2 linked regions of the Caenorhabditis elegans genome follow. The protein of the gene in region 2 interacts with the protein of the main gene of each other region in a pairwise test. Each region holds a gene or a part of one and is shown on either strand. Other genes may lie near its edges. The genes, in order: Y17G9B.5 and F01G4.6.

Region 1 (3,651 bases), 6.4 Mb from region 2:
TTGCGCCTTTAAAGAGACCGTCCCAAAATAAATCACTATTTATTTTATCTTATTTTCATATTCTCAATGCAATAGCAATTCGTAGTAAAAAAATGCAATAGCAATTCGTAGTAAAAAAAAACGTAGTAAAATACAAAATCGCTGTATTCATGCGTAAAATTAGATAAAAATTGGTTTTATTCATGAGTGCTTCAGTATTGTTATTTTATAAAACCGCGTTTAACATTTTCCTGTTTCTTGTAGTTTAAGATATCACAATTTCATGCAACATGTTCTTCTGATAGAACCACAAAACAAAACAATTTCGAATCTCGGATTACAGACAAATCTATCGCCGGATATATTTTTTATTTTGGCATTTTAGACAGACCTCGGCGCTCCCAGAGTTGCAGTTAGTTCTGTACTGCCAATCCTCAATAATCCATAATAATCCAAAAAAGTGAATGTTGTCTTATCACAACATTTGGGACTAGCGAGCGCAAAAAAAAAACACGCAGAACAAGGTCAGCTGTTAAGAGAATCGGCACAAACTGTTAATTATTTATTGTTTCTCAAATTCTAGTCAACACAATACATTTTATTTTCTTGAAATTATCGGGTTTCCTTCCAATCGAACTCGGAACCTCAGGTTCTCCATATTTGGGTTGGTTTTTTGTAGATTATCAATCCATCGAATCGCTGTTGCATTATCATCTTTATACATAGCACCCATTGCGAAAATCGTTTCGTGGTCTTGTTCGTGGATCGATCTGAAAATTAAAATTTTATATCAAATCTAAAATTTGAACTGTAAACCTACCTTTTAGCTTCTCCTCTTTGCTTCTGCCAGTCCGCGTACCAATTTGTATAATCTTCGTCCATATCTTCGTTTTTGAACTCGTTTAAAGGTTCCAGCTTCGTATTTCCAGTTAATGTGATAAATGGAATAACTCTGTCTTGTAGATAGACTTTTGCAGCATCCACGAAGACTTCATCACCTTTTCGCAATTCAGAAATTAATATCTGTTGCATTGGGCTCTGTGACGTGGCTAGCCATTTTTGTTGTGGATCTGATGAATCTGACAGTTTTAGAAGCGAAATAGAGGACGCAGCGTCTCGGCTCATCATTTTCAGCGCGATTCCGGCTAACTCGGAGGGTGATAGAGACTTCCCTTCCACGTGGCGCCTGTCCAGATATTTATTCGAATGTTTCAGCTTTGGCATCCAATAGAGCATACGCTTCACCTTTTTCGTTGCAAAATTCCACTCTCCGAATGCGTTGACCACGATATCATGGATCTCCTTATCCGGTTGAACACCTCAACTATTTTTGATAATTTATGAATAGTAAACGACTTTGTACTTACCATGCCACTCCATTTCATCTAGAACCTTCACTGCACAATTTTGTTGTTGAGGGTAATGCAGGAAAACTTTTTGGAAAACAGTTTGTGGGATCATCTTTCCTTTTGGAAAAACTTCAAGGAGTCCTTTATAAGTATCGATATCCTTATGAACCCCATATTCTTTGACATATTTTAGAGCTGTGTTGATAAATTCGACATGCGTTCGACCTCGTTTTTCCTTGAACGTGGCTGAAAACATAGATTAATCGTTGAAACTAGACAGATATCCAAACCTATCGCTGCCATGAATGCATCTTTATCTCTTTTCTCCGGTTCTATAGCTTCGAATTGCTTTTCAACATGTACTAAACTCGTCTCTTGATTCGCTGCAGCAAAGCATCGTATTTGATTGCTGATAACCCGTCGTGAAACATGTGCAAGAGCCATTAAAGTCTGAATATGTACAAATAAATTAATATTATAACTTTATAGTTAAAATAAAACATTTAAAATCACATTTCTATATCTTTTTAACAAAAAAATTGCTTAAAAATCTAAGGAGTAAGTGCGCTCCACCGCTCCCCGTAAATCGACGGCGAGTGTATGAAGGATACGGTAATAGAACACGCAACAAAACTAGCACTGCCGCATACACTTTTGTGCGTTGAAATTCATTTTGGGTTTTCCTGATCCTATTTTTTAGCTTTTTTCCGCTTTTCTTTTTCTGATTTTTACAAAAATTTAACAGTTTTTTCATAGTTTTTAAATATTGCAATATGCACTCATATTTTTTCGGTAATTCCCATCTACCTTTCCATTTTAAAAGAAAATTGTAACGTTATCCTAAAATTGTTTTTCGCTATTATATCAGATTGTTCATTCCCCATTCCTTGCATCATATTTTTGTTTTTCAGGGTTAAAACATGCCAACCAAGGCTCTTGGAGAGACTCTTAATGAGTACGTCGTCGTCGGACGCAAAATCCCAACAGAGAAGGAGCCAGTGACTCCAATCTGGAAGATGCAAATCTTCGCCACCAACCACGTCATCGCCAAGTCTCGTTTCTGGTACTTCGTCTCTATGCTCCGTCGTGTGAAGAAGGCCAACGGAGAGATCCTTTCGATCAAGCAGGTTTGTGGAAAATAATAATAATAACCCATTTTACAATAAAATTTTCAGGTGTTCGAGAAGAACCCAGGAACCGTCAAGAACTACGGAGTCTGGCTCAAGTACGATTCCCGTACCGGACACCACAACATGTACCGTGAGTACCGTGACACCACCGTTGCCGGAGCCGTCACCCAGTGCTACCGTGACATGGGAGCTCGTCATCGTGCCCAAGCTGACCGCATCCACATCCTCAAGGTCCAAACCGTCAAGGCCGAAGACACCAAGCGTGCCGGAATCAAGATGTTCCACGACGCCAAGATCAGATTCCCACTCCCACATCGCGTCACCAAGAGAAAGAACCTCAGCGTCTTCACAACCGCTCGCCAAAACACCCACTTCGCCTAAGTTGCGGATTATTGTTATTTGTTACAATAAATTGTTGCAAACAAATTTTTTTCTTAATTTTTCATTTTAAATTTGTGTGGTTTGAATCCTGTTTGTTCAGCTTGTTATTTGTTTACTGTTTTTATCTCGTGCGCAGCACTTGTTGATGTTATTAGATGATCATTGCAATGATCCATAAGGCATCGGACCGCCCAGCTGACTTGTGTGACTGGTAAATTTTGTCAATATTTTCAAATTTGTTCTTTTGCAATATAGATATCTGCTCTTCTATATTCAGTTCTTACGCTACTAGATCTGTAACTACATTCCTTAAAGTTCAATATCACTATTTCGATAAGGTAAATTAATTCTTAATAATTGAGATAAGTTGATAAAAATCTGGATAACTGTAGATTTTGTAAGTTGTAAGCGTTAGAAATGCGGTAAATCTCGTAGAAACTTTATTTTTTGTATTTTAAGGGCAAAACCTTTCAGATCATAGATAAAAAGTTCAACAGCGTCATTTTAGTATGTCCTCGCTGAATGATATTTCACCCAGACTCCCGAGAGCGACCGCCCGATTGTTCTATGGCCTTTCTGTGTCTCTGCGTCTCCTCGCCGCCCGAGAGATGGCACAACCCCCGTTTCTTTCTCGCTATTGCATCACGGGCGGTTCCCCAAGTGCTGCTGTGGCGGTTTCTTCCTGCTAGACTCTTTTAGTATATATTTCACTAATTTCTGTATTTTAAGGGTTCAACATGTCCGATATCCCAGCTGGAGATTACGAAAAGGGAAAGAAGGTGTACAAGCAGAGATGCTTGCAGTGCCACGTC
Region 2 (4,342 bases):
TTCATTTACGGGAGTATTAAGTTTAAGTCCAGCTGGATTACTTCTCAGCCATGTTATTGTCTGAAAATTCTTATTGAAGAGCATAAAGTTCAAAATATTATTACTCCGTTCAAATTATCAGCAACATTTCCAGTTTGATCCCAAAATTCATTGACTGTCCATTCCCAATTTGGTGTCCAAATATTCCATAAGTAAATTGAAAAAGCAACATCAAGAAGCAACAGACGTGTGAAGGAAAATGTTCTAGAAACTAAGTTTCCGTATAAAATATTAATATCTCAGGAAACAAACCGGACGAGAAGAATTTTTGCTTCTAATGTCCTGATTAAAACCACGTTTTTAGTAATTTTATCCATAAATTCTGAAAATCACGTTATTATCAATTTTTTTTATTGGAATTCAACGGTAAAACGAGCGAGGGTGGACTGTATTAATTGAACTACCCAATTGAGGTCTTTTCTTGAGAACACACACAAATTAACACCAACGTATACAATATTCTTCGATCGGTTTTGTTCGGAGGAGATTTATAAAAACACTGCCAGAGAACTCATCTTTCAAAAAAGAAGACATCGGGATTGAAGGACAACTTGAAACAAATGAAGGAAATGATAATCACACTAAAACCGAGCATGGTGCACTAATTAGTTATAAAAAATTAAGAGTGAGAGTAGGACCGAGAGAAAAGAGACAAATTGGGTGGATTTCAAATTAATACAATGGCTAGAACAATCGATTAAGGAAGGAAATCAAAATCATTATCTAGTCAGTGCAATTATTGTTGAGCGGCAAGCTTGGCCTTGAGGGAAGCTGGCATCTCTGGTGGTGGTGGGCGTGGAAGGTTGAGGGCGACCTGAATTTTTTTTATTAATTAAGAAAAATAATACCGATATAAACTCACTTTAACAGAATCATAGATGAACCATTGAAGAGCTGTGAGGGTTCCGATCATGATAATACGTGGCACAAGTCCCTTCCAGACTCCGGCGAAACCAAGTTTCTTGAGGATTCCTCCGGCGGTGGCTTGAGAGTCTTGGTTAAGCTTGGAAACAACAGTGTCGGCTGGGTGAGATACGATGGCGCAGAAAACTCCGGCGATATATCCAGCAACAAACGTGACGACAAGTTGTTCAGCCTTGGAGCACTCTGCTCTTGGCTTTGGAACAACGTATTGGTAAAGGGCCTCAACGGTCTTCTCGAAGCAAGCGAACTTCATCATGGTGTATGGAATCTGTCTCATCCAGAGTGGTGGAAGTCCCTTGTAAAATCCGGTGAGTCCTTCGGCCTTGTAGATCATTGGTGCACATCCACGAAGAGTTGGTGGAGCTCCTGGTGAGGTTTGGATACGGACCTTGGTGGCTTCCATTGGGGCGAGAAGGATATCAGCGAAGAACTCAGCTGAGGCGGAAGCAGCGAGGTAAAGAGAGGTTCTGTAGAGATATGCGTTCTCTTCTCCGAGCATGTCAGCGTAGACGTTCTTGAAGATCTCGTAGAATCCGAATTTTCCAAGTCCTTGTGCGGAGTATCCAAGGAGGGTTGGGGCCCATCCCTTTACAAGAGCACGAGCTCCTTCCTCGGCGATGGTGGTCCGGAAACCAGTAGCAATACCGGTGTACTTCTCTGGATTCACCTAAAAGAAAACAATTAAGTTGAATAGATTTTTCTCGTAATACCTGAATTCTGCACTTGACAAGATCAAGTGGTACGATGGCAGTGTGGGTGATTCCACAAGAAAGAACTCCTCCGAGAGCACAGTAAGCGTAGTACTTGCCACTTCCGAATTCAACTTGTCCAGCTGTAACAAAAAAACATTAAATTGTATAGTTCGAGCGATAAACCTTCATATGAAGAAGCTACAGTGGTGACAACACCAACCGCGACCCGTGCAACATATTGAGTGGACCCGTACGCCAGCCAGTCCATTAACCCGTCAACTAGTTGGGTAACACCCCAAAAATAAATTATAATCCACATGCATAATATCACTATAATGCCAGCCCTTCCAGTTTGGAGATGAGGAGATTTGGCTCGAGCTATGAATGGCATAGCCTTCTCTTCCGTTTCGGACGTCATTGATAAGCGATTATAACAATGCTTATAATCCCGCCTAGGCATGTGGTAGCATAGAAATAACGTGGAAGATAGTAAATGATCCACGTGAAATTTACGTGTGAACGACGTCGAACGGCAGACAGATATTCGATTCTATGTCTTTTTAAAACGCGGTTGCCACGTTTTGCAAAACGAGGGAATAGTCTGTCTCGATTCTCTTTTCGCGAGATACTATCTCCGCCGTGCCTCTCGCAGCCCTCGTCAATTTACGTGTGCACATGCGCTGCACGGGAAGTGGGAACAGAGAATGCAGGTAAAGAAAAATTCGGATTGTCATTACCCCTCCTAATAAAAAACTAAATTCTAGAAAGTAATCTAAGTAGGACGTGAATTTACTATTTTACTGACAATATTATGCTAGCTAATATATTAAGTTTTTTTTTTAAATTCAATTAATACTTACGAGCTGAAACAGCACTGGCGCAGTTACCCGACCTGACCGGCAAGCTGAATGGGTTCTGCTTCGATGATTCGGCAAGCTGGCTGAACACGCTCATGGTGGTTACCTGGAAATTACCGAAATTATTGCCAAACATTTATATTCACACGAAAAATTAGTATGCGGGAAGTATAAAAATGTAAAAGAGACACTAACAAAAATATCACAGATGATTTTGCAATATAATGCTTCAAAAATCTACAATAAAACTCAAAATTCAAGAAATTCGTAGAATAACTGATAATTTATCACTGGCGGGCCTGCAAACCGCCTCAAAAGATATCATGGACGTTCTCTGAGCCATGGTCGGCCCCTACCGTAGTCGTCTCCCGTCACTTTGCTATATGACCTGCACATCTAACTCGATTCTGGCAATGCGCCAGCAAACATTTCTACTCGATTTTTCCATTTTTATTTTAAAATATGACTACAACATCTAAAATTCTGTTTTCTAGCATTATTATTTTATCATTTAAAAGGTGTATCTCATTTTTTAACATATATAAATCATAAAATAATTAAAATTTGTGGATAAATAATCCATCTCTCAAAAGTTTATTCCAAATCAACTTTTCAAAGATAATCAATTTGTTTTCTTTGCTTTTCTCGTGATTTCTTTTAACGCAACTCTTTTTTGTCTCAATTATTAAATCAACTTTCATATTACAACTTCAGAAATGGCCGACGAGGAGATCTCAAAAGCGTTTCGCGACTTGCAATTCAAAACCAATGAAACACGAATGCGGATAGTTCAAGGAGAACAAAATAAGAAAGTTAACTATCAGGTGAGTATTTTTGAATATTAAATATTGAAATTTGATATACTTTAAATATTATGAGAAATGTATGACATCATAACTTGATAACATAGAAACTAGCGAGTTTCACCTCTTAGCTTGTGCCTAAGTCACAAATAGTCACAGCTAGTCACAACTACAATCTAGCTTTGCCAAAAAAGTTTTTGCTGTACATCGGTATTTTTTCATTACACACATCCATTAAAAAACACTCAGCATTTTTAATATTTAAAAACATAAAAGTATAACTTTTTCTCTTAAGTAACGCTTCTAATAACTAAATTTTTCAGAAAATGAGGATCTCAGAGAGCACAAAAAAGAACTTGGTGGATTTGGATGAAAACCTCAAGTACTATCGATCTGTTGGGCGTATGTTCCTGCTGACCGACAAACCAGCTGAAATTTCCAGACATGAAGCTGAAGCTAAACAGTCAAAGTAATTTCATTCTTCCATTCAAAACAGTTTACACAACCAATCCCATTTTCAGAGAGAAAATTGAAGCTATCGAGAAGCAGAAAGACTATTTGGAGAAAGGATTGGTGGAGGCTGAAACGAATCTTCGCGAGCTGATTCAAAGTAGACGCTGAACCCTCGGGAATAATTTCTATTTTGTGTGTAAAATTGCTTTATTGTTTACGTTTGCATCATTTTTTCGAATGAATCTCTTCTGGCGTACGTATAAACGTTTTCAAAACAATTTCTGGATTTCCGTTATTTCTATTTCTATTTCAGCGTGTGCATACTTCTATCAAATATTACAGATGAGAAGGGCGTCTGGTGTTTTACGAGTTCTGGGAGGCCTAACTCAAAGATGTTCAACCAGCTCAACCCCATCCTCCTCCAGATTTCCAGCAATGAATTCTAGAAGAAAAAGGAATTCTGTGAGAAAAACTGCGACTATTGAGGATATTGTCGAACCTCGAAAAGTTAAACATGTAACACAAACAGCTGCGGGAATGGGAGAATGGATTGGATCACTAGATAATGTAAGAA

What was found.
Region 1: the proteins of F01G4.6 (region 2) and Y17G9B.5 interact in a two-hybrid assay, tested with the Caenorhabditis elegans proteins (one large-scale study listed by BioGRID).

Annotation. Positions count from the first base shown.
Region 1 is NC_003282.8:4,748,367-4,752,017, reverse strand, and holds Y17G9B.5 (Evolutionarily conserved signaling intermediate in Toll pathway, mitochondrial), read right to left. Parts: upstream 1,779-3,651; 5' UTR 1,773-1,778; coding exon 1,619-1,772; intron 1,575-1,618; coding exon 1,347-1,574; intron 1,299-1,346; coding exon 800-1,298; intron 750-799; coding exon 578-749; 3' UTR 527-577; downstream 1-526. Other genes in the region: rpl-18A (Large ribosomal subunit protein eL20), read left to right, coding at 2,249-2,455, 2,504-2,839; cyc-2.1 (Cytochrome c 2.1), read left to right, coding at 3,577-3,651.
Region 2 is NC_003282.8:11,146,887-11,151,228, forward strand, and holds F01G4.6 (Phosphate carrier protein, mitochondrial), read right to left. Parts: upstream 2,316-4,342; 5' UTR 2,074-2,315; coding exon 1,839-2,073; intron 1,796-1,838; coding exon 1,674-1,795; intron 1,631-1,673; coding exon 902-1,630; intron 854-901; coding exon 776-853; downstream 1-775. Other genes in the region: pigq-1 (PMT_2 domain-containing protein), read right to left, coding at 1-60, 105-243, 292-356; pfd-1 (putative prefoldin subunit 1), read left to right, coding at 3,229-3,336, 3,639-3,784, 3,837-3,936; C08F8.2 (ATP-dependent RNA helicase SUV3 homolog, mitochondrial), read left to right, coding at 4,111-4,335. UniProt on the Caenorhabditis elegans protein: Transport of phosphate groups from the cytosol to the mitochondrial matrix.